Linked DNA regions of Astyanax mexicanus. The protein of the gene in region 2 binds, or shares a complex with, the protein of the main gene of each other region. Links are inferred from orthologs where the notes say so. Each region holds a gene or a part of one and is shown on either strand. Other genes may lie near its edges.

The links. The genes of interacting proteins can lie anywhere in the genome.
Region 1: the proteins of ezh2 (region 2) and aebp2 are in contact, whole or in part, in a cryo-EM structure (PDB 8VMI), measured with the Homo sapiens proteins. The link is inferred for Astyanax mexicanus from reciprocal best matches to the Homo sapiens genes EZH2 and AEBP2. Residues at the interface, in NP_001190176.1 of Homo sapiens: Ser76, Leu77, Arg78, Gly79, Thr80, Thr100, Asn102, Ala103, Val104, Ala105, Ser619, Asp620, Val621, Ala622, Ile739, Glu742, Met743, Glu744, Ile745, Pro746; in NP_001107648.1 of Homo sapiens: Lys382, Leu383, Lys384, Asn385, Arg387, Arg388, Ser390, Leu391, Pro392, His395, Asp399, Ala400, Gln401, Asp404, Ala405, Arg407, His408, Ile411, Cys412, Leu415.

What each region holds. Positions count from the first base shown.
Region 1 is NC_064409.1:30,152,543-30,163,389, forward strand, and holds the start of aebp2 (zinc finger protein AEBP2), read right to left. Parts: upstream 4,160-10,847; 5' UTR 4,004-4,159; coding exon 3,525-4,003; intron 1-3,524. UniProt on the Homo sapiens protein: Acts as an accessory subunit for the core Polycomb repressive complex 2 (PRC2), which mediates histone H3K27 (H3K27me3) trimethylation on chromatin leading to transcriptional repression of the affected target gene.
Region 2 is NC_064408.1:92,429,019-92,439,823, reverse strand, and holds the start of ezh2 (histone-lysine N-methyltransferase EZH2), read right to left. Parts: upstream 4,384-10,805; 5' UTR 3,971-4,383; intron 527-3,970; 5' UTR 520-526; coding exon 403-519; intron 1-402. Other genes in the region: pdia4 (protein disulfide-isomerase A4), read right to left, coding at 9,672-10,084. UniProt on the Homo sapiens protein: Polycomb group (PcG) protein. Catalytic subunit of the PRC2/EED-EZH2 complex, which methylates 'Lys-9' (H3K9me) and 'Lys-27' (H3K27me) of histone H3, leading to transcriptional repression of the affected target gene.

The DNA of each region.
Region 1 (10,847 bases), on a different chromosome or scaffold from region 2:
CAGAAAGTGTTTTATATTCTTATTCTTATAACTATATTAGAGTACTAGAAAGTCTTTATAAATGATGTTTCTGTTGTTGGTCTATTTGGGTTTAATAATTGTGCAGTGCATAGCCGTATTACTGATTTTTGTGTTTTTTATGACATATTTGAGTAGCCTAGAATCTTCTAAAAATAACCTCTCGCATGTGTGTCTTCCATAAATTCTTACATTAAACTATTGATACACTGAATGCTCTCTGTCTCTCCTGTCTAAATTGCTAACCCGCCGCTGTGGATTGTGGCTTAATCAATCTTAACCCTCACTTCGTTAAATTTACCTACATTTGGTCAATGGCAGTTGCTAATTTTCCATTCTAGTATATACACTACTTGACACGTCTGATTTTTCTGATTTAACATTAAGCAAATATGGTAGGTATGATCTGGAACTAGGTACATTTACATTTAAGGTATTTAGCAGATGCCCTTATACAGAGCGACTTACAACAGTGCTTCGATGTTACTTCAAATATCCAAAGCTAGTTTGTAGGCTAGGATCAAGAGATACACAAAGCTTGATCATGTTAGAACCCTAGGAACCTTTTTTTATTATTATTAGTTTAGGAACTCTTTAAAAAGACGAGTCTTCAGTCAACGCTTGAAGAGCGCGAGTCACTCTGCTGTTCTGACAACCAGTGGAAGTTCATTCCACCACCTTGGTGCTAGCACAGAAAAGAGTCTGAATGTTTGTTTTTTTGTGGGTTTTGAGGGATGGAGGTTTGAGCCCAGCCATACTGGAAACTCTAAGAGCTCTTGGTGCAGATCTGGCTTTGACCATTGCCATCAGATATGAAGGAGCTGGTCTGTTTTTTGCCTTGTAGGCCAGGGTTAGGGTTTTGAATCGGATGCGGGCGGCAACAGTAAGCCAGTGGAGGGAATGCAGGTACCACTGCAGAAGGTGATCTAAGATGCATTTGGGCAATGTTTTAGCCATTTAAATGCATCAATTACTTAAAGACACATTCAACAGCCAAAACAGAATATTTTACTCATTGCTTTCGTTATGGGGTTGGGCTGGGGCATGCGTGTTAACAAAATGTCCCCAGGAGACCAAATATGGCATCTGTTAAACAATAAGCACAGCTCCTCTTCGTGTTCCCTCACTCTTTCTGCAAGGTGCCTGCTTACCGATACTATCACACATGCAAGCCAACAAAAGGTCTCATCTATATATGTGGAGCACTTTCTCAGGTGACCAAAAAGGTCAACACTGGGTAATTTGATAATTATATACTATATACTATTTATAGTTTAAAAACATCCACTGATGACAGCAGCACAGTTACATAATTATACCTAAGGCTGGGCAATAATTCTACATATTTATCATAATAGAAAATGATAAAAGGAACTTACCCTTTCTAACCAGCACTATTAATTTGTTTTCAAAAATCAAAAATTAATAAACAATTAGTATTATTGCTAACACCTTCAAAGGCTACTGCTGAGTACAAGGGGATTTTCAGTCAGCTGCGCTGCTTAACAGGAGCTGTTAAATCTGATGTAAAATGAGAAGAATTATGCTATACAGTATGCTATGTTGATATTATGCTGAAACTGAAGCCAATGAAAATGGTCAGAAATACAATTGTACATTAAATGCATTTAAGCCAATTTCAGATACAAATATTTCATTTAGAAATTAGGGCAAAACTTGTTTATTAAATGTCTAAGCAGACCATGACTAAAGACCATGGAAGCATTCTTATGAGGGTACATTTTTAATTGCTTTGTTACTGTCAGCCTAATAAAAAAATTAATTAATTAAAAGCTATGATTATGAGATCATCCCCTTTTTCATATATAGTGCATTGATTAATATAGAGATTGCTTATATGCTCATAAACATATTAGAGAAGCTTTAAGGTTTACAGTTATGTTAAAAAAAGAAACAAGGCAAAAGTCATCTGTCCAAAGCATATTTTTGGACTAGGTGTTCTCTGGCAAACTCTCGTACTGTTGTACAAGGATACCTTCTATCAAGAGCTTTCTCAATTTCTACCTCTACCTCTGGAGGAACGTATACCTTTATCAAATTACAGTCAAACATTTATATATACAAACTTTCATATTGTATGAAATGCAAAACACTATCACAAGGTACTAAAACACAATATTGTCAGTTGAGCTTAAACATTATATGCACTAGGACAAAGGTCTAATGTGGGGCCTAAGAGACAGTATGATGTTAAATGTTTAGGAGCACAGTACTTTCTGAATAGAGCGTTGCATGAGAAGCTTGTGAAGTTAAAGAAGTTTCATGAGTAATGGTTTGTTCATGTATCTTGTGTTCAAAACTTTCCTAAAGGTAAGACATGTGAGAATAATGTATAAAGTCTTATCTTTATAGATATCAAAATGTGTTATTAAAGTATACTGATGTGACAAATGACATATGTTGGATACTATTAGTAAAGTGCACAAACGTAGACAAAAACAATTAAAGAGATCAAGAGCTAAAAACACCTGATGAATTTTTACGTATTTATTCTTGTTTTAATCTAAATTCAGTGGAAGCCAATGGATCAAAAACTGAACTGTGTATTTGCTATATTACAAAGGTTACCGTTCCACTGGGCATTTCTGAACAATACCAGTGTTCATTACGACGGGCCAGTGATGTGACCAAAAGGGGTTTTAACTAGGTCCCATCTGGGTTATACACTACATAGCTAAGGACAATTTAGGGCCATGGGATTAAGGTGAAGTGCAATGATGAATCCAGACCACATTACACCCATGTGAGCAAAAATGAGAATATTCAACAAATCTCATTATAATTATAGATATCCAGACTGTAATTTTTTAGAACATGTACAATTGTAAATCTTAATATGTTTAGATATTCTAAATTAGGCCATGTCCATATACTGTACGATAAATCTAATCAACTAATTATCATAATTATGACAGGCCAACACAGTAATTCACTGTAATATCAGTAACCGTATCATTACTTGTAAAAACTCCAACTGTAGAAGTTTAAAAATGTGTGGAGCTGGACTGTTTACTACACACAGTTACAGTATAGTTATATAGGACTACACGTACCACCCGTGATTTAATTCCATGAGAATAATAGACAGAATTACATTAGGGATATGGAAATATGACGAGTCCGAAGGGATGTATAGATCTGTATATCTGATATTCTAATTCTGAAATTAAAATTAGTGATAAAACTGCATTAGTGAGATCTATCATTTGAGATTTTACTCATATAAATTGAGTTCTGACTGAGTGCTGCTGCTGTGATTTTACGATAAAAGAGTAGAGACGTAATGAAGCCCCTAGGTCTGTTTATAACAGTATAACAGGTCTTATATTATCACTGCAGCACACATAGCTGTACCAGCACGCATTGTTTTTCCACAGTTACGGGCAGTGGGGCTGTAGCTGCAGCTGTAGGTGGAGGCAGTAGGCGGACTCTGCTGTTGTACCTCAGGCACTCTGTTCATGATCCTCGATAATAGAGTTACTAACCTGTCCTCAGAGTCCATCCGGCTCAGGGGTTCTCCATCGGAGGAGGAGGACATCTCCACGCTGGCTCTCCTCTTTATCCCGCTGCCGGTTTTGTCCGGACACTCTTCACCTTTACTGCTGGGGCACTCGGCCGGCGAGGACACGCTCTCCTCCTCTCTTTGTTCTTGCTTTAGCTCCCCCGGCACGGCCGCCGAGTTCTCCCCGCTCTCTGAGCTCTTCTGCTCGGGGCATTTCTTCAGCTCCTCCGCTTCAGCCTCACCGCTCGACGGGCTCTCCGCGGACTCGCTAGCCTCGGCCAGGGCTTCTTCTTTGCCTGTCGCTCCGTCGAGCTCGCAGTTCTCGTCCATTTTAACGCTCTCGCCCTCACCCGGTTCCTGATCGGGAGCGCGCAGCAGGCCCTCGCCGCTCTCCTCGCCGTTCTGATCGCCGGCTTTGGCGGAGTCTTGTTCGTTGGCGTCGGTGGTCGCGGCGGAAGCCATCCTCGACGGTGGGAAGTATCTTGGGGGCGTCTAAGTAAGTTTGAGAAGAGCCGAGCGAGTCAAACCGTGAGCATTTGTTCTCCTCAGCAAAGCTACGAGCACACAGCCCGAGAGAGAGGTTGAGCAGGGACGTGCGGGGCGGGGCCAAGAGATGACGTCGCTCTTACTGACTCCACGTGTTTGGACTACTTCAAACAGAACGGGCCTGTTATGGGAAAACGGGCATGTGTAGTTTTAACCATTAGGTTAACATCCGTTTCAGAAATGAAAAAAATAAATTATCCGATCACTGATTTTACGTATAAAATTGGAATACGAACTAATAAAATACTTGCCGCAGTCCGTGTACATTTTGATAGGTTGATTCTTGAACTAAATAGAAAATAGAAGAAGTGACAAAAGACTCGTTTCATCGTTTTTTGTTTGTTGTAAACACACTAAAACAGAAACTGTAGTTCAGTCCGACTTTCCCCTATGTCTTCAAAACTAACATATGGTTCATTATTTTGATGGCGAATCATGGGCGGGCTTAAAGCGCTCTTCCTACCTCATTGGTCAGTATGAGTGATCACGTGCTCTCAGAAGCGTTGTATAGGTAAAAGTCCCAGTAAAACTCTCGGGCGGCAGGAGTAACATACGTGCAGCAATATATCTGATATTTTCTCCAATTCGGTCGAATTAATGCGTGTTTCACTTGTTACCTGTAACTTATTGTACTGGTATTAATGGTATGACTCTCATCTTACAGCACTTGTATATATATATATTTTGTGTCATCAGCGATAAGACTGGTGTCTGGCTCGTGCAACCAAAAGAACAAACACTCCACACAGAGCTGTAATACTCGTTGTCACGGTGTACACTTTGTGATACTATTGCTCGTCTGTTTAGACCGGATTACTATCAGCGTGCATGTAAACTTAGCTTTTCCTCAGATTGTGGAGTACATATACAGTCCTCAGTCAGAGTCTACAACCTAAATTTATTTGACTGGATTTGGAGAAAATATGAGATATATTGCTTCGCGTGTATTACTTCTCCTGCCCGAGATTTTACTGGGACTTTTTTTCCCGAACAACGAGAGAGCACGTGATCACTCAGGCTGACCAATGGGGTATGAAGAGTGCTTAAAGCCCGCCCATGATTCGCGATCAAAATAATTAACCATATGTTCGTTTTGTAGACATAAAGCAGAAACATAAAGTAGGACTGAATTCCTATTTTTTTTCATGTGTTTAAACCAAAAAACAAAGAAACGAGCCTATATTTTATTTCTGCAATTTAAATTGACTGGCCAAAATGTAAAGCGAGAAGTTAAATCCAGCTGAAAATGACATAAGTGATACAGATCGTTACAGATCTATAGTGTGTTTGTGTCATGAATATCAAACGATTAAAATTAACTAATTAATCGCAGTTTGCTGAAATTAATCTTATAATCTGATTTTGATTTCTCCTTCTTAACACTGAAACTTTTAATAAAGGGAAATATAATAATCAATGTAAGATAATCACAGTCTTGTTTTTAAATACAGATTGTATTTTGTGAACTGTGTTCACGTAGCAGTTGAGCTTGGTGTGATACAGCAAAAAACTACTAAAACAGGCAGGACAGTGTTACTACACAACCAAGCTTTAAACACTGTAGCACACTTCACCAGTGTAGCTGAGACCAGTGGTATTAGCGTTAGTGTGTTTAATTAGAGAAATAGATGGTTGTTTTTTATTTAGTTGTGCCAGTATATCATACTAATCATACTTGCTAACCACCTTGGTCATACTCACAGACCAGCTACGCCAATAACTCAAATAATGTCTGCTTGTGTATCTCTTGACTAGCACAGCACATAATGTAAATTGAGTTTCATGGTCTAGCTTGTCTGTCAGTATAACCAGGATGGTTGACCTGTATGATTAATGCTGTTTATCAGGGTATGTTTCTACCAAGATGTGCAGCGTCCCATGACTATCATTTCCATTTTACAGTGGAAATAATTTAATTCTTAAAGAAGGATAATGTTCCAAAACATCTAAATGTTTTAAAAAGGGACCCTATTCACTATCCTTTTAGGGTGTGGTTAATTTTTTCTAGTTTTATAAAGTGTAGTGCATCTTTTACCCAGTGTGTGTAGGAAGGGGGGTATGTTTTTTTTTTTCTTCAAATGTAACAGAATAAGCTGCCTCGCTAAAGCGTCAGAAACGCTACAAAATTTAAATTGGGCACCCCTGATCATTTTTGTGATTTTCCTTTATAAATTGTTGCTTGTTTGGATTAGAAATTGCAGTTAAATATATCTGTGGTCCTGCCAAATCTTAAAGACTCTATCTTGCAGCGAGTGAGGAAATAGTGGGTTCGCACAAAGTGGAGTTAATAGTGGGAGCGACTGTATACCAAAATGACGCCTGAACTGTAGACCTGACAATAATATTATTGCAACTTGGTTTATGTGGCTGTACTAAGAAAATTAGAAAAAAAGCTAATGAGGTGGGAGCTAGGGAAGCAGATTCATGGTATAACCAGGCAGACACAGAGGCTAGCTTATCTAAATGCAACCAATAAACAGTAAGTTGAAAATTAGCAGCCCAATAGTAAAAAATAATGTTGGCCAGTGCCATACCCCCTAAGAGTTTAGGTTTTTGTAGAGTTGACTTCCGAAGCCTCAGGACCTTCTTATTTTAAACAAATTTGTAAATAGTATTGTCAAGGTTAATAAAATAAGATTTAGTAATTAAAAATTGTGATGCATTGTAAAATATATAGAAATCTAAGGAGTATATTCATTTTCATTACATTGATGCACCCTGCTAATCATAGGGGTAGTAATGTCCAATGTTCAGGTCTTGTTTAGTATGTAAAAAAGTTTGAATAAGTTGTATTTAATCAGTTTGTCAAACTTATTTGTTATAAATACCCCTAGATAGGTAAAAGCATGTTAGAAAATCCTGAAGATCAGCCCAGCCATGATGAGGCAATGAGCTACTGGGAAAAGTTCACTTTACAGCGCCCTCCATAATTATTAGCATACCTAGTTAAAATGTGTTAAAAGCCTTAAAATAAATGTCATTTTTATTGCAAAAGCATAATCTCACGGAAAAAATAAAAAAGCAACCTTTAACTCAAGTGAATAAAAAAAAAACCTGTGACACAATTATTGGCATCCCATAACAATTTTTTGGAATGAAATGTATTTAAACAAATTATGTCATTTCTACTGTAGTTTATAAAGTGAATCAAAGTGTGTAGGAACCTTTAATTGGTAAATAATCACTTTGTGTTTCCCTGGGGTGTAAATACAGTATTACAAAAAGGTCTATTTCTCCTACTCATCTGAAACATGGGAAAGACATGAGAACATAACATTCAAGTGTATAGATGTGTGTTGACCTTCATAAAGCAGTCAATGGCTACAAGAAAATAGCCACTCATCTGCAGATGCCCTGATCCACATTCACTGTAAGAGAATTGAATCAAATGGTAGCATGTAGTGTTAAGAGGTCTTCCAAACAACCATCAGGCGCCTTTTACATGCCAACAAGCTGTTTGGAAGGGAAGCAGCACAGAGAAAGCCTTTTTGAGTTATAATCATAAGCGTAAAACAAGCTGTTGTTTACCAAGCTATAGTGGGATTTTAACTGGTACAGTCTGCTTTGGTCAGATGAAACCAAGATAGCGCTTTCTGGTAACAAACACTCAAAATGGGTCTGGAGTAACACTAAGGTTGATTATGCAGGAAAACACTTTATGTCCACTGTTAAGTATGGGGGAGGACGGGTGATGCTGTGGGCCTGTTCCTCCTCTAAAGGACCTGGGGACCTTGTAAGGATACATGAGATCATAAAGTATCAGGATATTTTGAATCAGAATCTGGTGTCCTCTGCCCAAAAGCTGAAGATGGGTCGTCACTGGGTCTTTCAACAAGATAATGACCCTAAACATGTGGCCAATTCTACTCAAAAATGGTTCACAAGGCACAACATCAAGCTCTTGGCCATCTCAGTCCCCAGACCTCAACAAAATAAGAAAAAACTGAAGAGGAGTTTTCTCTTTTTTTTGCATTGTTGTCCTATATTATTTAAAAATATATTCATTAGAATGCAAAAACTGGAGGTGTTGGCCCAGCTTGTTTAGAGTTTGCCACAGCATGTAGTGGAACCAGCTGCAGTGTACCAGAACAGGCTGCTGTACAAACAGCTGATGTTGTACTAACAGCTAAACCATCCTCCTCCAACTTTATCGCCGTTCCCAAACACTATGATGGCTCTCCTGGTGCATGCAACTTTTTATTGCAATACACGCTAAAAGGTAATCACAACACTGCTTACGTGTAAAGCTAAGGAATGGGCTACTGCCCTATGGTCGGCCAACAGTGACATTTACGCTCTAAAGCTTTGTTTTTTGCTCAGTTTAAAGCTGTGTTTGACCACACCCTGCAGCCGGTAAAGAGCTGGGTTTGCAAATGTGTGAGCTTAAACAAGGCACCTATTCTGCAACAAGTTACACCCTTGACTTCCACACTCTTGCCGCAGATAGTGGAAGGACTGAACCAGCTCTGAAAAAAACGTGTTATAGAGGGGATTGCGGGAGGACGTGCAGACGGAGCATGGTTTTAGAGAACAAGAGATGACCCTGAACGTGGCTATTTCCCAGGGCAACTTTCTGCACGGAAAAACGGAAGCTTACAACGGATTTCAGACCTCTCTTCAGCCACCCAAGCCTCACCCCCCTCAGCGAACCGGAGCCAATGCAGATTGGTAGAGCCCGCCTCACTCCTGAGGAGAAGCAAAGTAGGTGCAGGAAACAAATATCAATTTCTGTACGGATTTCCTTGCACTCAGACAAGTTTTCTGTTTTAGTCCTTGCAGCCCAGGATTAACAACCTTTAGGCAAAGGAACTTTCTGTTCAGGTTGGCTATTATTGAATCCCCTGATCACCTTTTAATTTTGTGTTTCAGTTGGTTGGCTCAGCATTTGAAACTAATTTAAAATTCAGTAAAATTCTAAAAAGGAGTGACTACTATTAAAGTCATTGTTTGTCCATACCATGCCTAGGCACTACCGTAGAGAGCCCTAATATGCTTGGCACTTTTTCTGTCCCTAACTGCTATCATGACATCATGGAGGTTTTGTAAAGTACATGCCACTCGTTTACCACCACATGCGATAGAAGGCTGTCTGAGCAACCATGTGCTGCTGGGTCCTTTTTTGTTGAGAAAAAAGATGGTGGTCTTCGCCCATGTATAGACTACCAGGATCTTAATGCTATCCCTGTTAAAAAAAAAACCCTCCCCATTACCCTTAATTCAGTACTAGAAAAACTACAAAATGCACAGTGGTTCACCAAACTCGAAGTGCATATAACTTAATGCACATCAAAGAAGGCAATGAATGGAAGACTGCATTTGTGACCACTAGGGGGCACTATGAATACGGAATAACAAAAACTATGTGAAAACTAAGTGAAAAAAAAACTGTAATTAAAAGAAAAAAACGGTAACTAACTGGATCTGAATTGAGTGTTTATAAAACTAAGCGTGAGGATGAACTGATAAATCTCTCACCCTTTCTTTCTCTCTCTCACTCACACACACTCTAAATCCTGCACTGATATGGTAAAATGTTGTATCTGAATCTAGTGCTGGGTGTCCAATTCCTACTTTATTTCTGAGTTGATAATTTTGGTGAAAATTAGTGGAAACATCAGATTGTTTGTTTCTCAGATTGAGCTTTCTGATATGATGCGTATTTCATGTTCATGTGTGTCTTATTGGCTATTTTAGGCATCACTGTTACATATATTTTGCACGTAAGGCTGTTAGCTTGTGGACTGGTACAGTTTTTGTGGACAGTTGGTTGTTTCACGGTAACTGAATAACTGAAACTATTAAAAACTAGCAAACCCACTCTAAAGAAATTAAAAACTAACTGAATTAGAGAAGAAAATGTGATTTTTTTTTAACTATAATGAAAAATTAAAAACTATTATAACCTTGGTTGACAGATGGGTCATTATATTTATGGATGACATTTTGGTCTACTCCCCTTCCTTTGAGAAACATGATAGCCATGTCAGAGCAGTGCTGCGAAGACTCCTAGACCACCAATTGTCTAAGTGTGAATTTAATGTCCAGGCAATTCTTCCTTTTGGGGTATTGATAGATTCTCCAAATCCATCTGATACTTGCAGACTGATACCTCTCAGTAATCTACCCACAGCCTGGAAAATGGCAGAGATAAAACCCATGTGAGGCTAAAACAAGCTGTTCGAAGGATGAAAACTCATGATGATCGGAGAAGAGGGGCTGCTCCACGATTCCAAATTGGACAAAGGGTTTGGTTATACACTCGGGACTTAAAACTCATGTTGCCCTCTTAGAAGTTATATTATTGGATCTTTTAAGATGTCAAGAAGGTCACCACAAAGTCCTATCATTTAGAACTACCAGCTTAAACCTTTTTCTTCTTCCTCCCAGGACCCTGGTTTTATGGCAGAACCTCCCCCTCCACTGGACATAGCTCATTTGCAACTTGTTGGACTGAACGCCAGCTTGAACACCAGATTTTCTACCTTGTCGACTGGGAGGGTTACGAACCGGAGGAGCAGTTGTGGGTTCCAGCGTGTGATATTCTCGACCCCTCATTAATCAACAAATTTTCATTGTAAACACCCGTATCGTTCAGCTCGGAGTCAGGGGTCAGCTGGGGCCGACCATCAAGTGGGGGGTGATGTTACCAATGGCCCAGGTGTTGCACCTCCCCACCTCAGGAGGTCGCTCTCGCCTCAGTTTTAGTTCTTGCACACCTGTTTTCTGTTGCTTATTTACTCTGTGTATATATGGGCATCAC
Region 2 (10,805 bases):
GCAGGTTGGGTCCACGGATTTACACAGTCAGTGCCAAATTCTAACCCTACCATCTGTGTGCCTCGGCAGAAATTGATATTCATTTGACCATGCTTTTTTCTTAAACTGCAGTTTTGGTGAGCCTGTCCCCACTGCAGCCCCAGTTGAAACCCACTGTGGTCTTCAGCTACGGCTGTATGGTAGTTATTAAACTATTCTAGGTAATCTCTAGAGGCTTTAGTAAAATTATGATGGCTAATTTGAACATTATCTGAAGCTGACGGTCAGGTACAACATGATTTTATTGTATTTCACTGCTGTTGCAAGACTCACTGAATTGATAACTGCACAAAAGAATAGGTGTGGATGTTGCTGATGAGTGTTTTGGCTGTATAATCAGTATGTTTTGTCCTTCATGCTTACCTTCACCTCATCAGCTCTCCTGAAGCGTTTCAGCTGTCGTAGCCTCATGTACACAGACTTCACTCTCTTCCTCCAGCACACTGGGCCTTTCTCCATTTTCTTCCCAGTCAAGCCCATGGTTTCCCTATGAGAACATACAGCATTCATATTTGATTAGTGACGAACAGAGACACTGTTTTCAATACAGAAATTTGTAGTTCATGGTTTTTATAATACTATATTAAAGAACATCACAGTGATATAAAATCACTATTGTTTTTTAAGGTTTTAAACGTTGATGAAAAAGCATGGACAAATTCTACCAGCAATAAAAACTTACTGATCTAAACTTTTAGATCTTCTGGAGATCAAATTAGACAGCTTTTTCTGAATGACAGGAATTCATATAACCCAACATTGCCAGACCAGTTTAAGTCAGTATGCGCTCAGTTATTCAGTAAACCATTAATGAATTGTGGAAATGACCCAAACTGAAATGTCTTAAACACTGCAGCTAACCAGTGTTTTAGAATTATACCCATCCTATAACTATTAAATGTATACATGACCAAATATTGACAAGCGATCTGTCTCAAGCAGTTTAAGTTGGAACTGTATAAATTGATAGAAAAATGTACCATTACTAGGAATTGGTCTTCTGGTGCCAAAGTACTGAATATTTTTACTTGTAGTTTTACGATTGCCTTTTCTCTGAAATCACTGACAAACATAGGTTATCAAATTTACATAGTGTTGAAGAAAGTTCCTGTTTAGTATTCAACCAAAGTGTGTTTTTAAGGTGAAGCCTTAAATATTACACTGAATGTTAATATTGTTAAAACCAGCAGTGCTCCTGTCTCACTGTGCTCATTTAATCATCCCCAAACCTCTCCAAAAAAGCCCAGAATTGCTAGTTATAATCCAAACCTAACTAAGCTTAATTAGTCATGAAGAACTAAGCTAAAGCACATGTTCTTGAACTGCGCTGGTATAGATGTCTTCATCTACCATATTGAACAACTCTGTCCCTGTTGAAAGTAGATGCGACAGACGCTGACTAGGCGTTAAGTAACACTGACAAATTCACAAGTACAGCTTTGTGGGCAAGTTCGTCCAGGCTTTCCATCTGAACATGTACGAGCAGAGAAAAATGTTGCAGCAAAAATAGAAATAGCCATCTGCAAGTCTAACATAAGTGCTGAATAAAAACCACTGAGTCAGACAAACAGGATGAGCTGGGTGCCAGAACTGGCAGTGCTTCTTACTCTGTGTACAATCTTAAATTAACATTCACTGTAACTGCACTTGTATATGATGAACAAACGTTGTTGAAAAGACTGAATAAGAACAAATAAAGATAAATGAGTAATAATAAGAGGAACAGTCTGCTGTGAACATGACCTTTGGTTTGTATCACAGCTCATTCTGCAGTTCTTTTAAGACTAAAATCAGCAGTTCAAATATGCATAGCGGAAACACCAGAGAAGATAAAAGTGGGCTGTATTGCTAAAACTACTCACACACTGTATTACCCCACAGGAAGAGGCACAAAGCTAACATAATTAAATCACACAGTGTGAGTGTGTGCTTTTTAAGGATCGATTTGTCACAAGATCAAATCAAATTAATTCATTTTCCCTCCTCTGATATCCTATCCTGCATCTTCTGCTGCATTCAAGTAAAAAGAGAAGAGGAAAAAAACAAAACAAAAAAAAACATTAACAGCATTACAAAAGAAACAACAACATGGCGGTCTTAAGAATAAACCAAATAAATGTTAAATATCATTAATAAGAAAATTACACAAGAACAAAACAGCTCTCATTTATCAAAACAAACAGACCTAGATCATAAAAAAACAAGAAACACCGTAGCTGCTCATCAATGATTCATATATTTGTGTTCTGATGCTCTGCGTGTTGTCCTGTATACTGTCCAAAGAAACAACTAAACACAGGACAAATCATCTGCTGCAGTCTGGACAATTCTGTCAGTCTTATTTTTAAACCACTTTCTTTATACACTGTCAGTTTACAGTTTTTTGTTTTGTTTCTCAGCAAATATAACCATGAACACTGAATTCAGTAAGTTAAGTCATAAAACAAAACATGCTCAATACATAATTAGCTAGCTACATTAAAAGCTTAGAGAAAGGAAAATGTAAGAAACAGAAGGACAAACTTAACCTAGCTATAGGACATGTATATGAATATACATCCCAAATAAAGCAAAATAAATACACTAATATTCTCCATAAGATCTATCCATGCAATTTTCTGATAACTAAAAACTGGGATGTAAGCAATACTTGAGATAAACACATGGCTCATATTTTCTTTACATTCTAATGTGGCCTTTAACCTTTGGACAGAATTAAGTTTATATTTATTCCTTGTTTTTACTTCAAAGGCATCATGTGTTACTTTGAATAAAAACTAGTCTTTTAAAACTTTTTTTTATAGCAAAATAATATATTCATCAAGAAACAGCATATATGAATAATTGTACAGATCATAAAAACATTAGCTAGAATTAACCGAAAATAAAATCTGTTTTTTTTATCAGCAACATATGTGAAGCCTAGATTTGTATTATTTGTCCATAATTAATGATGTGTGTTTCAAGAGTGAGAAGCAAGTGTTAGCTAGCTATATTTTGTATTGTATTTATGAACACAATATTTTACACAGTCCGATAAATAAATGTTACTTGCTATATGAATAGAAGAACTCTCTCAGTGGAGATGACTGCTGTCACTTATAAACAGGGATCAATAACCAGCCAAAATAAAAAAATCAATCAAGTTGTCTGTGTCATTTCTTTCAGTTTTATTTTCTAACTAGGTTTAGATCACTAGATAATAATATATAAAGCTAACCAGGGCTAAATAAGCATCATTTACTCTGAATCATAACCGTACTTTATAAATATAAACACGTGAATTCAGTAACTTAACTATGGATATACAGCTCTGGGGAAAAAAATAAGAGACCACTTGAAAATTATTAGTTTCTTTGATTGTACCAAATTGAAAACCTCTGGAATATAATTAAGAAGAAGATGGATGATCACAAGCTGAACTGCTCGACTTTTTGCACCAGGTGTGGCATAAAGTAGTAGAGGAGAACAAGCCAAGATGCATGAAAACTGTGAATGAAAACCAGGGTTATCCTACCAAATATTGATTTCTCTCTTTTACTTACAGAAAATGAGAAATGGCTGAAATAACAAAAACGATACAGAGCTTTCAGACCTCAAATAATACAAAGATAAGTTCATATTCATAAAGTTTTAATAAATGCTCTAAATGACAATCTTTTTATGTGGAATTTGGGAGTAATTCACATCAGATTATAGAATAAAACAACAATGCTCATTTTACTCAAACATACACCTATAAGTAGTAAAATCAGAGAAACTGATTCAGAAACTGAAGTGGTCTCATTTTTTTTCCAGAGCTGTATGTATATAAGAGAGTTCTTCACCAGCTCCTCTTCAACACTTGTCGTTAGCTTAGCCTCCACACAGCCCACAGACAGCTCGAGAACAGCGTGTTTAGTGACCGGTGCTGTGTGTTGTGATGACCTACCTGCAGGAGTCCAGTCCACATTAAACACAGTGATTTTTCTCTGTTTGTTTTCGGTCAGAAAAGCGGAGCAGCCTGGAGCAGAGCAGAGAAAAGCTAAAGCTAAGCTAAGGCTAGTGCTAACCCCGCTAACAGCTCTCACTGAACAGAGGGAGGGAGGCGCTTTCTTTCTTTCTTTCTCTCCTTTTTCCGACACCGGTGAACGAACTCGGGCTTCAAACAGAGCCTGGTCGCTTCTTCCCGCCTCCTCCGCTCCAGTCTGATCTCCTCACACCTAAGACTCGCGGTTGGAGCCGCTCTCTGCTTCACCCAGCTCCGCTTTGTGTTCAATAATCGCCGGTATTCCCGCTCTAACTCTGCCCGCTCTCCGCGCTCCTCTCTCCGCCTACTGCACAACCGCCGACCGCCAAACCCCGCAGCCAATCGCGGGCAGCCGCACTCAAGCTCCCCACAGACGCGGGCGCTCATTGGCCAGCACGAACGCGCGCCGCGTCCAATAGCAAGCGGTTGTGCGGCGGGGCCCGAAGTGGGGAACATGTGGAGAAACTCTCTTTGTTCTTCATTTTTAACAAACACTCACTTTTTACAGCTTCAAAGCGAGAGATCTGCTTCAGATCTGTTCTTCTCATCCTCCACCTGCAGCACGAGGGGCCTGGAGCTGCCTGTCGCAGCGCATGATTACTGTAATGCCGATATATCGCTTATATCATCCACAAATTATAGTGCATTATTATAATGATTATAGTATTTCATTATACTATAGAATAGAAACGATAGTATATTAGTTTTATATATAATTATGCACGTTGCCTTTGCCGTGCATACACTGTTTTTTTCTCTCTTTTTTAAACAGATAAGCATGTAGGTTATGTTAGTTGGTGCTTCAGCTTTATTGTGATTCTAAACTTAAGTCTGCACTTCTGTTGTTTGTATAGTATCAATATAAACACAAGGTCAATTTTTTTTATCCCCAAATATTTCTACTGGACCCACTGAACTTGGGTCAGCCGGTTCGCCAAGCCACGCCCACCTGATACGTTGTGATACGTCAGAGTTCCATAAAGCCATTTTATGGGGATTATCAGCTTTGTTTAGGAGGGAAAACCATCCAGCCTTCTCCCCACAGAACCGTTATTCCCCACTGTGGTAACCCACAATTACGAGTCCTGGCCAACTGCAGCCTTTCCTCTCCCCTTTTAGTGTGTTTTTGGCTTAATTGTGGAAGATCCAGTTCAAATTTAATTGCTTAAGGTATATTTAAAAAACTATATGGTTAATCAGAGATGTAGTCAAATCATTTAAGAGCAACAAGTCAATAAATCTGTAATAAATATTTAAATACAGCTTTTATAAGTGTAATCAACATAGCTGAGAATGGAAGCCCTTTTCTACCGCTTGGGGGATAGGGGGGGGGGGGGGGGGTTCATTCACTAGAGCCATATCTTAAAAGGATTAGTTTCTCAGGGGGTCCTGGGGTACCATGTATGTGTTTTTCTCAGACGTCCTATAAGAAAATTACAGGCTGAATTACCTAGTGTTTTCTGCTGAACTCCTTGGTCCTGCTATGCCTTTGGGTGTGCGTTTCCACAGAGAACCACATAAACACAACAGCGAGTGGAAATGGAGGAGCTACTGAACGTGATGTCACATGACCAGAGGTGGAAAGTAACAAATTACATTTACTCACGTTACTGTAATTGAGTAGATTTTATGAGTAATTTGTCATTTTTAAAGTAGTTTTTAAAATAGGTAATTTTACTTTTACTTAAGTTCATTTTGACACAAGTAATTTACTTTGCTATAGTGGGAAACTCCCCGTTACTGAGTAAAAATAAAATGCTGGGAAAAAAAAACAATCGCCTGAATTAAAAAAAAACATTGGCGCGTATGCTCGTGCGTGGAATAACGAGGCAATGACGTCCACATGCAATGCAAAATGTGCCTGTCCCGCCTGACCGAGCTGTCAGCTTTCAAAACTTCCACATCAAACCTGCGAAAGCACGTGGTGGTAATTTATATGTATATTCTAAATTCACTGGTTAGCTGTGGATTTACTTTACAAAGACCAGTAATCTCATATGCAGTTGCACAAATTATACAATCTTCTGTATTTAGTAAAATATACAGCACAATAATCCCTTTATTAAAAATTGTACAACCTAAGCAAGTTCTTTTACAGAATTCTATTCTACAACCCCTGGCAAAAAGTATGGAATCACCAGTCTTGGATGAGCACTCCTTCAGACATTTCATTCTGTAAAACGAACTCTGATCAAAAACATGATACAATAATAAGGTCATTCCAAAGTGCAACTTGTTGGCTTTCAGGAACACTCAAAGAAATGAAGAAAAAACATTGTGGAAGTCAGTGAATGTTACTTTTATTGACCAACCACAGGGAAAAAAATATGGAATCACTCAACTCTGAGGAAAAAAGTATGGAATCATGAAAAACAGATAAACAAAAGATGATTCAAAATACATCACTAGTATTTAGTTGCACCACCTTTGGCTTTTATAACGGCTTTCAGTCTCTGAGGCATGGACTTGATGAGTGACAAACAGTATTCTGCATCAATTTGGTGCCAACTCTCTTTGATAGCAGTTGCCAGATCAGCTTTGCAGGTCGGAGCCTTCTTGTGGACCATTTTTTTCAATTTCCACCACAGGTTTTCAATTGGGTTGAGATCTGGACTATTTGCAGGCCATGACATCGACTGAATGTGTCTTTCTCCAAGGAATGCCTTCACTGTTTTTGCCCTATGGCACGATGCATTGTCATCTTGGAAAATTATTTCATTATCTCCAAACATCTGTTCAATTGAAGGGATGAGAAAACTGTCCAAAATGTCAATGTAAACTTGTGCATTGATAGAAGAATTAACCACAGTCATCTCCCCAGTGCCTTTGCCTGATATGCAGCCCCATATCATCAAGGACTGTGGAAATTTGGTTGTTTTCTTCAGGCAGGCCTCTTCATAAAGCTCACTGGAACGGCACCAAACAAAAGTTCCAACATCATCACCTTGTCCAATGCAGATTCTTGACTCATCACTGAAGATAACTTTCATCCAGTCATCCACAGTCCATGATTGCCTCTCCTTAGCCCACTGCAGTCTTGTTCTTTTATGTTTAGGTGTCAATGATGGTTTTCTTTTAGCTTTCCTGTATTGAAATCCCATTTCCTTTAGGCGATTTCTTACGGTTCGGTCACATACATTGGCTCCAGCTTCTTCCCATTTATGCTTCATCTGTTTAGTTGTACTTTTTCGGTTTTCAAGACAAATGGCCTTAAGTTGCTTGTCTTGACGCTTTGATGTCTTTCTCGGTCTACCAGTACGCTTGGCTTTAACAACCATTCCATGCTGTTTGTATTTGGTCCATATCTTGGATACAGCTGACTGTGAACAGCCCACATCTTTAGCAACCATGCGTGAAGAGTTACCTTCTTCAAGAAGTTTCACAATCCTCTCTTTTGTTTCAAGAGACATTTCTCTTGTTGGAGCCATGGTTCTTGCCACTCTAATTCGTCCAGCAGCCCTCCAAGGTGTCATGACTGCAGGTGTTTTTAACTGCAGACTAACGAGCAGATCTAATCTGAGGCAGGTGTCCATTTAGGGAAAGGAAATTGACTGGGTGTGTCCTTATTTTCTACCTTCAATTTGAGTGATTCCATACTTTTTTCCTCAGAATTGAGTGATTCCATATTTTTTTCCCTGTGGTTGGTCAATAAAAGTAACATTCACTGACTTCCACAATGTTTTTTCTTCATTTCTTTGAGTGTTACTGAAAGCCAACAAGTTGCACTTTGGAATGACCTTATTATTGTATCATGTTTTTGATCAGAGTTTGTTTTACAGAATGAAATGTCTGAAGGAGTGCTCATCCAAGACTGGTGATTCCATACTTTTTGCCAGGGGTTGTATTCTATTCTATAGACACCTATTGTGGAAGATTTAGTTCAAATTGCTATTCTGGTAAACCAGCATGCTTATTAGTATAGGGTATGTTTTGCCTGAATGGCCGTATTTTGACCATGTAGAGCTTAGACCAATAAATTGGCATGTGTTGACGTACATGGCCATTACACTCCCTTGCAGACTGTAGCCCATCGATTTATGCAGTTGGAAGTTAGCTGTCCTCTAGTCCTTCATCAATGGTTGGTCTCTTTCCAGAAAGCCGCTTCTCTGTATAGTACTGGAAATTATGTGTGGGACCAAATATCAACCTTACAGAAACATCACTGTATCTATTAAAGTAGTACTATGTAGGTATTTCCAATAATATTATCAGTTAGAAGAAGTGCAAAACAGGAGTCTAATTTTGCACTTATGAAGTGGCCTGTACATAGAGTCCCCACCCTTAATACACTAAAGCTTTTGTTACTAATTAAAAGTCCACTTTTCCCATAAATTATACCCAGTTGAAAAATCCAGCTTGTGGTGGTAGCTGGTTTCAGAAGGTCTAATCTCTCCCTCAATGGTCAATGTGGTTGAAAAGCAGATCACCAAGGTGAAAACATGCACTATGTGGCGAGCTAGCTGGTTAACCTGCTCTTGAACAGCATAGTGTATGTTGCATTTTATTTTAGTAATGCTTGGTGATGCTGGTCAACCAGCACGGTGAAGCTGTTTATATGCTCATAAAGGGTAGATGCTCATTCTTACCCTATTTAAAAAACACATCCACAGCTTTATTTATTTGATGAAGACAAACTGATGTGGTTTGAACAGGCTATGACTTACTTTACAAAATTAAGTTCTCTGGTGAGCTGAACAGCTGAGACAGACAGCCATTGAATAACTGTTCCAGTTTAAACATTTACTTGGTCTATTAGTGCTTTTTTTTTGGTAAATCATTTTATTAACCTACAAAATACCTTTGGTAGCTTACTTGCATAGCTTTTAAAGGGTTTGTATAGCAAACAATATTTTCCAATGTATATTTACCAAAATGTTTGGCATGACAATTATTAGTAACTATTAAACCAGTTAGTTCTGACCCTGCAATGGGATTGGCTGAGAGGCGTTCTATGAGTGCAGTTTTTAGTCTGTAATGCAATGTGACCGAGGGTCTCCATGTAACATATTTTCTCATCCTCTTTAACTCAAAACATTTCAATAAACAGCAATAATAGAACTGTGGTATAATTGTTGATGCACAGTAAGACTGAAGTGTGATTAGTGCCATTCTATACAAAACCTTTAACAATATTGGCCTTTTATAAGGAAGCTCACATCAAATACCAAACCCATATGGGCTGATCAACTATATCTGAGACCATAAATAACAATAACTATTACTATACATGGACAGGATATTGGAGGGAAACCAAATTTTCCTGGTTTTGATCAGTCAAATTAATAAAAGGTTAAAATAACATATTGTTTGATGCTAATCCCTGAAGATAAGGTTTCCACCACATGAACCAGAACGATAAGTCTTACGGCTTATTTCTATTTCTAAGTAAAACAATATAATTGAACCGAGAGTAGGAAACAAACATTTTTCCAATTTACACTTTTATTTAAAAAGATTTTGAAAGAAACCTAATAAACAGTGCGAACTTTGGAATGAAAAAAAGAAGGATTCTGCATTCAGGAACACTGGTTACAACAAAATTACTCCAGACTGCCACAGTCTGCGTATCAGAATACTTCCTGCATCGGAATGTGTTAAAGTTCATGGTTTCTCCAAAAACCCTCTAGAGTTCATCTCTTGTTTGTAATAATTTTGTTGCATGTTCCTCGATGAATTTGCTAAAGCCCTCAACATTCCTTTCACCACCTTCAAATTTGATGGGATTCTGCTTGTTGTTGCTGGGAGCAAAGTATATAGTGGGGAATCCCTCAACTTTATAGCTGTCGTGGGGCACATCGTTGGCAGTAGCGTCCATTTTGGCGATCACAAGATTCTTCTCATTCTTATATTTCTTTGCAAGAGCGAGGTAATCAGGCTCCAATTTCTTACAGTGACCACACCACGGTGCGTAGAACTCAATGAGGACGTCCTTCTTTTTATCCAGCACTATTTCATCAAACGTTTTGCCAACAATCACCTTCACAGGTCCCTTGTTCTTTGGAACAGGCTGTGACTTGATAATGGGCTTCAGTTTGCCTGTTAAAAAGGACACAAAACATCTGGTGTCAGTAAGAACATTTGGAAGGCTCTCACCTCAGGTTCTATTCATTTTTTAAATTTGACCGTAGAGTGCCATAAAGCTGTAATATGGACAGGATGCAAACAATCAACCTGGAGAAACTCAACAACTAGATGTATACAAATTGTAACATTGTAGTTTCAATTTGGGCTGTGCTGCACAATGATTTGCTTATTAATTTTATTATGACATCAGCTGTAAACCCTCAGGAATATATTTTACAGTTTTGTGAACATCCTGACCAATCCCAGCTCCAGATAAGACTCTCCTAAAAATAATCCAAGTAATTCCATCTAAATTACTCCAGAATTTCAGTGGTTGCTAATTGGTGCTAATAGTTTTACAACACTGGTATAGTGGCTGCTATGGTGTGTCTGCTAGAGGGTTACTAGGCAGCTGCCATCATGGTAGGGCTGTGCTGTATAGTACACAACACAAGTCATTTTTGAAATGATATTAAAAAATAATAATGGCAGTATTCTTAAAACTAGATAATTTTATATTTGTTTTGATATTTACTATAAAACCTATATTGACATTTTTTTGTATAATAACAGTTTGCTTGCACCTTATATCCACCCACTAAATATTTTACACTTTAATTGTGTTAATTGTGTACAATTTGTACCACAATATTTGTGTTGCGTTATTTTATTATTATTAATTTTTTTTACAAAG